Caenorhabditis elegans: one gene and its partner. The protein of the gene in region 2 purifies or fractionates together with the protein of the main gene of each other region. This does not show direct contact. Each region holds a gene or a part of one and is shown on either strand. Other genes may lie near its edges.

Region 1 (6,168 bases), on a different chromosome or scaffold from region 2:
TCTAAAACCGAACTGTTTCTTTGAAATGTAAACTTTTAAAAAATTGAAAGACAAGAAACAAACATGAATTACAGTAATTCTGTAAATTCTGTACTTAGGATCATTAGGGAGCACACTTGAAAACAAATGAAATAAGGTATGTGAGAATACCGTATCAATCCGATATGTCTGGTACTTCCTCAAAAATATCTATCAGAATATGAGTACGATAGTGTGCATCTTTTCGCGCGACCATCATGGCTCAGCAGGTAAGACTTCGGCACAACGGGAAATGAGATCAAAGTTCAACACACAGGTATAAATTGGGTAAGGAATAGGCAAAACTTGGGTAAGACTTGGGTAAGACTAGGGCGACGCCTCGGGACGACGAGGCAGTCGACGACTTTTTTCATTTTTGAGGCGGCGCCCAACTTTTGCCCAAGGTTTACCCAAGTCTTGGCAACTCCTTATAAATGTTTTTATTTTTTGGGCAAGGCTTGGGTAAGAAGTTGCGAAGCCTTGGGTAGGAAGCTGGCGGCAAACGCCGAGTCATAGCGGAAATTTTTCGGAAATTTTAAAATAATTTTATCATTTTTCGTTGCTTTTTTCAAACCTCTCGGCAACTTTTGTCATTTTCCAGAAATATTTCAAAAATTTCCGGCAAATATTTTACTTTTCAAACGACTATAGTTAGTCAGATAGTTGGTAAGTTTTTTGGCAGTTGTTGGAATTTTTTGAAAAGTTCGAGACAAAATTTGAAATTTCAGCTGAAAATTGGTATTGTTTTTCAAAATTTTGAACCGTCATTACTTTTTTTTGGATACATTTTCCGAACGCCAAGCTTTCCCAATTTTAAGTTGCATAAATCCCCAGAAAAATTCTCCTCCAGCTTCATTTCCCTCCCTAACCGAAACCCAATAGTCCTTGGCAAATCCACCAAAACGCGCAATCAAACACAGACCTACAGCTTTTCCTTATTCACCGCCGCCGCTGCCGAACCCCCGCAAAAAATATGGGAAATTGAGAAGAGATTTAGACAAACACACACACACACCAAAAATGATGCGCAGAATAAAAAAAAAGAGGGAGAGCGAATTGGCAAAAAACTTGAAACACCTAGACGTTTTACGTAATACCCTACACATTAACTACACATTGTCAGGGGAGTAGTTTTATGGTTCTGTTTTTCTGATGCGGTGGGGGGGGGGGGGGGGGGTCCTGCCTACCTACCTGACTGTCTGTTAACATGCTTGAAAAGCAACCTATACTTGCCTCAAGCCCTCACGCCTGCCTACTACCAAAGTCTTGCCTTTATTTCTGTATACTTCAAATTATTCTATATGTACAGTTGACGCCATAATTTAGAAAATAGGTGGTAGGCAGGTGCGCAGGCATGAAGTAGGTATAATATTTCTGCCTCTGATCATCTCCACATAATCACCAACTTCTTTTTATCCTTGTCATAAGGCCCAATGATTAGCGATTTGATACGCCACTTGGCTTTTCCAAAAAATTTACAATTTTCTGTTTAAATCCCCGGGTATCTGAAATTCCTGCCTTTTTCCAATATTTTTGTTTTCTCGATTTTCAAAAATTTCCACATTTTCTCATCTCAGACATCTGCCTGTAAATTCCTGACTTTTAGCCAGTCTTATCTATTTGAAAATCGTCACCTTTGTGATCTTCGTCATTCGTTTTTGCGCCCATGCATTTTTTTTGGAAAGATGTAAATTTCGCTTCCACCTATCGCTTACTGTGTAACTTTGAAAGCTCGCTAGTTTGAAACTATGTATTCTGCGTGCTGAGAATCCCTAACAGTACTCCTTCCCTCAAAGTTCCATTGTACTTCAACAATACCCCTACAGTAATCTTCCAATTCTCTTACAGTAATCATACAGTACCCCAACACTAACCATGCAGAACTGCTACAGTAACCCTACACTATTTCCACAGTAACCATACAGTACTCCTACAGTATTACCGGTACAGAGAGTGTAGATAGTTAGAGAGTGACAGACATCCGGGACCCAATGGGGCGGGGCGCGCGGAAGAGACGATTTGTGTCGATTTACGAACTTTTCCTCATTGTCATCATTTCGTAAATCGAGACAAATCGTCTCTTCCGCGCGCCCCGCCCCATTGGGTCCCGGATGTCTGTCACTCTCTAACTATCTACACTCTCTGTACCGGTAATAATCCTCCAGTTTTCTTACAGTAATCTTACAGTACCCTCACAGTAATCTTACAGTATTCTCACAATAATCCTACAATACTCTTACAGTAGTTCTGAATTACTCCTACATTAGTTCTACATGACTCCTACAGTAATCCTACATTACCCATACACTAACCATATACATTACTTCTACAGTAACCATACAATACTCTTACAGTAACCCTGCAGTACCCCTACGGGGCACCTACAGTAATCTTACAGTAATCCTATTTTCTTTAAGGATACCTATCAAAATGGTAAAAAAGCACAAACACGAGTGCCAAAAACCTCCGCCGCTCCCAACAACACCTCCACCACCTCCAGTCGGGGAGCTCCCAACACAGTACAAGAGGATGTCCTCAACCTTACAGCACGTGCAGCCACCTCGACGTTCGAACCACGCATATTTATTGGTACCATTTGTCATCACAGTCGGGCTCATGTGGTTCGCATATTCACAATGGAAGAATCCGCCGCAAGCTCAACTGCAACCATCTGTGGTTACTGATAGGTGTGAGTTGTTTGGTTTAAATTAATAGTGTCAACTACAGTACTCCTATAGTAACCCTATGCAGTAAACCTTAGTACAGTTGTCAACTATAGTACTTTTACAATACCCATACAGTAAACCTAGTGTAGTAATCCCGAGTACATTAGTCAGCAACAGTACTCCTACGGTAACCCTATACAGTAATACTCAGTACTCCTACAGCAACCCCGTAAGGTAAACCCTAGTACAGTACGCCCACATTCATTGTACAGTAATTGTGCCTAGCAAACACTAGTAACTACAGTACTCCTACAGTAACCCTATATAGTAATCCCAAGTACAGTACCACTACAGTAACCCTGTCACAAGTACTATAATCAATTTATGCTAACCTCCTCGAAACAAATTCCTGATGATTGATCAAGCCCGTATTAGGCGAAATCGAAATTTTCTCAAATTAGCTGAAATTTCCTAATTTCCCTCTCCCTTTTACGGTTTAAAATTTTTGATCACCAAACCACAGAAACACTACAAACAAAACCGGGGACAAAATTGCAAAAAAAAAAATCAATTTTTTCAGACAGACCTCGAGTCGCCTGGATGTCGGACCTCATCAAATCCCTGCCACCATTTGCGCAGGGGTATCGGGCTGAGAAGGTAAGGCGCAGATAAACATTGGACAAAAGTCGCCCGCTACCGCCCCCGCTACCGCCCCGCTATCGCCCCGCTACCGCCCCGCTATCGCCCCGCTACCGCCCCGCTACCGCCCCGCTACCGCCCCGCTACCGCCCCGCTACCGCCCACTGACACCCCGCTACCGCCCCGCTACAGCCCCGCTACCGCCCCGCTACCGCCCCGCTACCGCCCCGCTACCGCCCCGCTACCGCCCACTGACACCCCGCTACCGCCCACTGACACCCCGCTACCGCCCGCTACCGCCCCGTTACAGCCCCGCTACCGCCCACTGGCACCCCGCTACCGCCCGCTACCGCCCACTGACACCCCGCTACCGCCCACTGACACCCCGCTACCGCCCACTGACACCCCGCTACCGCCCGCTACCGCCCCGCTATAGCTCCGCTACCGCCCACTGGCACCCCCGCTACCGCCCGCTACCGCCCACTGACACCCCGCTACCGCTCTGCTGACCGAAATACTTTAAATGCGCATATCTCGGCGGAGATTAAAGGTAACAAAAATTTGTCAACTGACAAAATATTCCAAAATTTTCAAATTAAATTTTCAGTTTGTCCCAAAGTACAAACTATCGGGATGCACCATAAACGGAAACTTTCCCGAAATGAATACAGCCATATTTTGCTATTTGTACAATTCAACGCTATACACTTCGGCGAATAAGACAATTTCTCAGGATATTGGAGAAACTGGGTAAGAATTTTATAAGTTATCTAGGTGCTCTACAATTAGAGATTCAGATTATGCTCCAAAATCGCTGAATTCAATATGAACGACTGGAAGCTGTGGGATAAAATTAATGACGATTTTCGAAGGATTGTATTTATTCAGCATCCGTTGGAACGATTTGTTAGGTCATATAAGAAGTTGTGTAAAATGTGAGTTTTATTGATTTTTACGAAAAAAAAATCAATAATTATCGATTTTTTTTTTGCAGTGAGCGAAAATGCTTCAACTGCCAGGACAATCTCAGTTGCTTCATGCGGAAATTGTTGAAGCAGCACGAAAAAACAGCGGAGGGGCTTGCAGGACCAGTCAGGACGTTTATCACAAATCATTTCAGCCCTCAGACTTGGTAAGTACGGTATTTTGAAAAAAGTCGGGAATGCAAGCGCGCTCCATTGCAAATTAGCTGAAAATTTGGAAAATTGGCTTTAAAATCGATTTTTAAGTTGAAAGATTAGAAAAATAGCTGGAAAATGAAGAGAAACGTTCAAAAAATATGTAAAATATTTTAAATTTAAAGAAAAAGTAAAATATTAGTGCACTTTTGGAGAAAAACTACTAAAATTTCATCAAAAATTCGTAATTTTTTATTGTTTCCCGTCCAAAAAGGTTTTATTCTCACTTTTTATGCCAATAAAAAACCAAAATTTGTACTGAAAATACCAAAAAACCACATTTTTAACATCAATAAATGCAATTTCCCCTTTAAATCACCTCCCCCACGCTGCGTTTCCTCCTACCACACGCTCTCTCCCCGCAGCGTCCACGTAAAACATAGCGCGCCGCGGAACCCGCAAGTTGTCCGCCGCGTCGGTTTATTACGTTCGCGAGCCTTCTTTCTTTAATCACGTCTGGTGAGGATGAAAACAGGACAGGTTTCGCTAAAATATTACCGAATGCCAATATGTCGAGACACCTTGGCTGTCTGAGGACGTTTTAATAATAAATTTTGGAAGTTAGCTTTTTAGCAAAGTGTGTTTATTATTTCCAGGAATTGCCATTTCAATCGGGAGTTTCAAAAGATTCGTACAGTGAAGATTGGCGGGAATCAAACTGAACGGGCGGAGTTCTCCGATAACCTGAATGAAATCCTTGGGGAGCAGGGAGTTGCTCAAGAGGTTCAGCGGATTATTAAGGAGGAAGTTTTGAGTAGGTTTTTTAGTCTGAAGCGTCCGAAAATCCTGATTTTCAGAAATTCCCCTGGAGCTCTCACCGGACGAACGTGAGCTCGCCGTAGCCATAAAACGAGATCATGACGATCTTTACCGACTATTCCGTTATCTGTACGAACACGACTTTATCGTGTTTGGATACCCATTTTAAACAAGTTCTCAAAAAAAAAAAAAACCAAAAGCAGCTGACATTTCACGGGTTCCCCATTTCCATACTTTTTGCGTTGTTGTTCCATCGATTTCTGGTGCTTTTCCTCAATAAATGATTCGAATTTTGAATTTTAAGGTTTATTTCTTATCAAAAATGACATAATCACTATCAATGTTTGTGTTGTGCTGTGTGGGCTTTTTCAAAACGTTTGGGAATTTGATTTTTACAAATAGTTCAGGTTTACTATTCTAAAGTGCAACACGGTTTTGCAGAAGATCAACATTTTTGCAGAATTTTTTGCGGAGGTTTTTTAATGATGTAGAAATTTTAAATTACTGTAATTTTGTTCATTTTTGAGGTTTAGCAAATGCGCTCTAATGCAAAATTTTGAAATTTTTGTTAAAACCCCAGCTACTTGAGACTGTTGTAGTTTTTTAAAATTCAATTTTTAGCACTTTGCTAATTTTCAAATTTTTTTAAAATCAACTAATAGACAATTTCAAGTACTACAATTAGTTAAAAATTAATGGCCAAACTAGATATTTCTAAATTTTTTAAAATCGTAGATCAAAAATGCTCACGGAGCAAAATGCTCCTCCCAGTACTGTAGCCAAGTGTCTAGCCAAACAAAATAAGGAATCAGTTTGAAAATCAACTGATATTATCAGTTGACATGTGCACATTTTTCTCTATTAAATTACCACTATACTACACTTTTTTTCCGTTTTTAAGGAAATTT
Region 2 (4,487 bases):
AATCTCACATTCAACACTTGATTATTTCTTAAAACATCTTCCAATTGTTGTTGCTTCTGCAGTAAAAGATCAGTTAGTTGTGATGATCCATCATCTTCCTGCTTCGTTTGTTCATCTCGCATTCGTGAACGCAAGTCGCTAATCGTCTTTCTCAACTCATTTTCCTTCTCGAGCATTTTAGATTGATGCTGATCACCTTGTCTTTTCATTTCTTGTTTTGTGAACTCATTTTCAATTCTTGAACATTCCACTTTCTCGTTTAGAAGACCAATTGTGCTATCCCATGTCTGCTTCTCCTCGAGATGAGTTCGTTTTTGGTCCGACAATTGAGATTGGAGATCTCTTAAAAGTGGAAATTGGAACAGTACTAAGAATTTCTCAAAAAAGCCTCTTTTTTTTGAATTAAAAAATTAAAAAGCTATTAATTAAAAGCTCGACCATCGAGTATGGGAGAGAATTTGAATTTTCGTCATAAATCCGAAATGTGAAAAATTTAAGGAAAAACCTTACCTTATCTGAGCTTCCAATTCTTCCATATCAGATCTCAAGGTATAAACTTGAAGTTGTGCAGATTCTAAATCGGCTTTTGTAAGGTCTCTTTCAACTCTGATCTCTTCAACTTCAGCTTGAAGAAGATGAACAGGACGATCACTGGATCCGATTCCTTGCTGAATTGAATTTTAATATCAATCCTCGGTCAAATCTCTCAAACCTCTGACTTCAGCGACTCCACCAGTTTCTCTTTAGCTGTCAAAATTTTCTGCGCCTTGTTCTTGTACTCATCAAATTCTTTTTTGTTCTCATTCAGATTGAACTTTGCCAGCCTCAACTGTTCGACCATCGCACGAATTTCTTCTTCCAAACCAACTATTTTTCTCTTATGCATGTTACACTCCTCCACTGCTTTCTCTTTTTGATCTTGTGCTTTTTGTCTAGAAAACTTGAATTAAATGCAAAACAACACGTCAAGATGTTAATATAATTACCTGGCTAATTTCAATTCTTGAAGACTATCCATTTCATGACTTGATACTTTTTGGTTTTCAACTCTCTTCTCTAACATTTCCTTTTCAGCTTTCATCTCGTAATAATCTTGACTACGTTTTTCAAATTTTCTTTCCACTTCAGAAAGTTTCGTTTTTAATACTGATATTTGAGAATCCTTTGCAAATAATTGAGATTTAAAATTGGGACTCGAATCGTTTCCCGCAAATTCTGCTGAAAAATCAAAATTCAAAAGTTTCGTAAGAATCGTCAAAACATACAGGTAGTTCGAATACTAGCAACACTACGGCCTCCAACACTCCTCTGACTTCGTGTATCTTCATCTGGTTTTGCATTTTTTACTTCTTTCGAGTTTAAAACCATCGTCCAACTTTCAGATGCTGCTGTTACTCCTGGCTGATGAGTCGATGAACTACCCCTGAAATTTTAAATGACACATGTGAAGAAAATCAGAATAACGAACTGTTCATAATTTCTTCCTCCTCTCCATCCGGCTCCGGTATAATCACTCTGAGCTCTCGAGGGAAGAGATGGAGCCGGTCTGCCGAAATCTTCAGTGATAACATGTTCTGGCATCGAAATAATCGTTGCTGAGACGCTGGCGGTACTTGATTTACGTGTTCGAGGAGCGGAATCTCTGGCATTTTGAATTGCGTCTCCAGTCTGTAACATTTATTCTGTACATAGAAACATTAGTTTCAAGATTTGCCTTTTCATCAAGTTTATTCAAAAGATTTTCGGCCGCTCCGGCAATATCGGACACTTTAGACAACCATGACATTCGTGTTTAATTCTCTGTAAAAACAAGTTATTCATTTTACGTGGGTTTGAATAATCGTTTAAATAAAAGTTTCCAATGTATGACAAACGAAAGATATGCGTTTCAAAACATGTATTTCAGAAAATCGATTACGAAGCATAAAAACAAGAACAAGCTTTGAAAGAACGTGGATTCGTCAAGTTCGGTCATGAGAAACCTAGACCCCAATTTCTAGGCCACCGAACAATGATAGAATTTTTCCTGATTTTATAGATTTACCTCAATAATTTTAATACATTTTCAATTTTAATATATTAATAAACATATTAAGAAAATATTCAAGAAAATATTTGGGATTCATCATCAATTTAGGAACACCTGGAAAAAGTCAAAGTTTCATGTTCAATGGAGCGCGTAGGCTTGTCACAAATGTTAGTCCTCGAATGTGCTGATTTTCTTATTTAAATTTTTTTTAAAATTAATTTTGTTCGATTCTTCCAAACTATGTTTTTAGACAACATGCATAAATATCCGACAGAAATTTATATAAAATATTTCGAATAACTCCATTTCAGTTTAGATATGTCATACGGCCCTCAGCTTCCTGCATTTCTCATGAAAGGTCAAATAAAAGAGGTGTGATTGATATTTTACTTTACATCCAGCTGATGCTATTTTTGTTTCAGAATGAAGTGGATGACGAAGCAGAAGAAGGCGCTCCCCAAGTCTACGGCCCTGTAATTCCAGGAATGGAAGAACCAAAAAATGAAAAAGAAAAGCACGATGATCAGGAAGAGACAAGTGTATTTGGACCTTCCATACCAAAAGAAGTTAGAGAAAAATTACAAAACGTAGAAAACCCCGCTGAAGACGACGAGGAGGATGAAGAAGTTGTTGATAAATAAATTTGGAAATTTTATATATCTTGAAAATTTCAGTTTCCTTCACAATCCTATGGTCCATCGATTCCTTCAAACTTTCGTCCTACCGTTGGTCCTTCAATTCCAGGAACTTTTGGTGATGATTCTGATGAAGACATTGTAAGTGAAATTGTAAAAAGCGCTGAAATATTATTGATCTTTTACATTCAAAATTAAAGGGCCCAATGCCAGTTGCAAAAGGGGATGAAGAGAAAGAAGCAATTGATCGAGCATATCGGATGGTATTACAAAAAGAAGCAGAAGACGATGAAAAGGTAAAATTAATAGCTTAAGTTTTTTCTCAGAATATATATTTTAGAATTTCCAACCAAAACGCGAAGAATGGATGACATCAGTGCCGAAAAAACTAGGAAATTTCGGTCTTGGCGCGCGAACTTTCAAAAAAGGAACCACATCAGAAAGGGATGCTTCTTGGGAAGATGCTCCAGGAGCTAAGAAAAGAAGAAATGAGGAGACAAGAAGTGCGAGATCTGTTGGAATTGCTGCTGCTGATGCTAGACAAGCTGCTATTGTCGCGGAAAAGACATCTGGACCCTCTCTTCTAGAAATTCATCAAAAAAAGAGAGATGAAAAAGTTAAAGACGCGGTAAGTTGGAAAATGGGTAGTTCTAAAAATAAAAATAAAAATTATAGGGCATTCATGTCATGAATTCCATAACTTTTGACGAAAATTATAAATTTAAATTATTCAAAAAAATACATTGATCAAATTATTTTTGAAAAACGCAATCAGTTTAACATTTCTTTAAAAAAAAACTTCGATTTATAACAAAAGTGCAGTTTATCAAAATTTTTATTTAATCTAAAAATTAACCAATTCAATTTCAGGGCTATGCACAAGGAGAACGCCGTCCGTTTGATCGAGAAAAAGACATGGAAGTCCGTGGATTGAAACCAGGTGGCAGCAAGGAAGCTGTCGATCGAATGAAAGAATTTGCTGATCGATTCGCGAATAGTAAAGATCAGCGGTTTCTATGAATATTTTGTTTGTTGATCTAACTTCGTACTACATAAATTTTCATTTATTTATATCATGCGACTTTACATTTGAGGGTTTAGAAAACCATTTTCAGGGGCTTTTGAAAATCCTGAAAAAATCATTTTTTGGGTTCCTTTTATATGACTTCTCTCAAGTCCCCGTGTTGTCAATTTCTGTTCTAATAATTATTTTCTAAAATTTCTATATATACTTCCATGTATATATCTATACAAACATTTTCACCTGGGAAGGTAAGTGGTGCAATTCTCATTAATAATTCTAAAACTGACCAGTATAGTGAAACCAGATACGACTCTCCGTTGATCTCACTTGCTTAGGTTTTTGACTCGGCACACACAATATTCACAAATTAATTTTGGTTAAACAATAAAACTATATAGTTCTGACAATATGTATATACGAATAATAAAGTGTTATATCGAATCAAAATTAATTGTTGTACTATAACTATACTTCCAAAGAGAATGGGTTCAATTTCAGGAGACGAGTGGGCGGGGCTACACAAAAATGTCATTTTTCTTTCCGCTCCACTTATCTTCATTTTGTTAGGTGTCCATGCGGTGTCCGGTGGTACCGCTTTTCTTCCGCATTCCTTTTTTTTTACCAGAAAATTGGTTTTCCTTGAAAAATTAGACTTGAGATTTTTATTGTACGGTACAAATTCTTGTCGCTCGATTTTCTAATTTTTCTCACGATCTCGCTGAAAGTAAATTTGAATATTATCAACTGAATTATGAAAAAGGAAACAGTGGCACAATAAACTTTTTCTCGCTGCGAGACC

The links.
Region 1: the proteins of F26A3.7 (region 2) and F01D5.10 fractionate together in Caenorhabditis elegans (co-fractionation; one large-scale study listed by BioGRID). This does not show direct contact.

The regions. Positions count from the first base shown.
Region 1 is NC_003280.10:14,017,226-14,023,393, reverse strand, and holds F01D5.10 (Carbohydrate sulfotransferase), read left to right. Parts: upstream 1-2,063; 5' UTR 2,064-2,168; intron 2,169-2,435; 5' UTR 2,436-2,448; coding exon 2,449-2,707; intron 2,708-3,264; coding exon 3,265-3,341; intron 3,342-3,930; coding exon 3,931-4,073; intron 4,074-4,120; coding exon 4,121-4,258; intron 4,259-4,317; coding exon 4,318-4,455; intron 4,456-4,952; exon of another isoform or gene 4,953-5,041; intron 5,042-5,097; coding exon 5,098-5,255; intron 5,256-5,298; coding exon 5,299-5,429; 3' UTR 5,430-5,555; downstream 5,556-6,168.
Region 2 is NC_003279.8:7,673,981-7,678,467, reverse strand, and holds F26A3.7 (uncharacterized protein), read left to right. Parts: upstream 1-2,340; 5' UTR 2,341-2,347; coding exon 2,348-2,401; intron 2,402-2,451; coding exon 2,452-2,655; intron 2,656-2,703; coding exon 2,704-2,805; intron 2,806-2,864; coding exon 2,865-2,960; intron 2,961-3,004; coding exon 3,005-3,292; intron 3,293-3,534; coding exon 3,535-3,684; 3' UTR 3,685-3,734; downstream 3,735-4,487. Other genes in the region: golg-5 (Golgin-84), read right to left, coding at 1-342, 511-668, 713-932, 987-1,218, 1,266-1,423, 1,469-1,668, 1,715-1,786.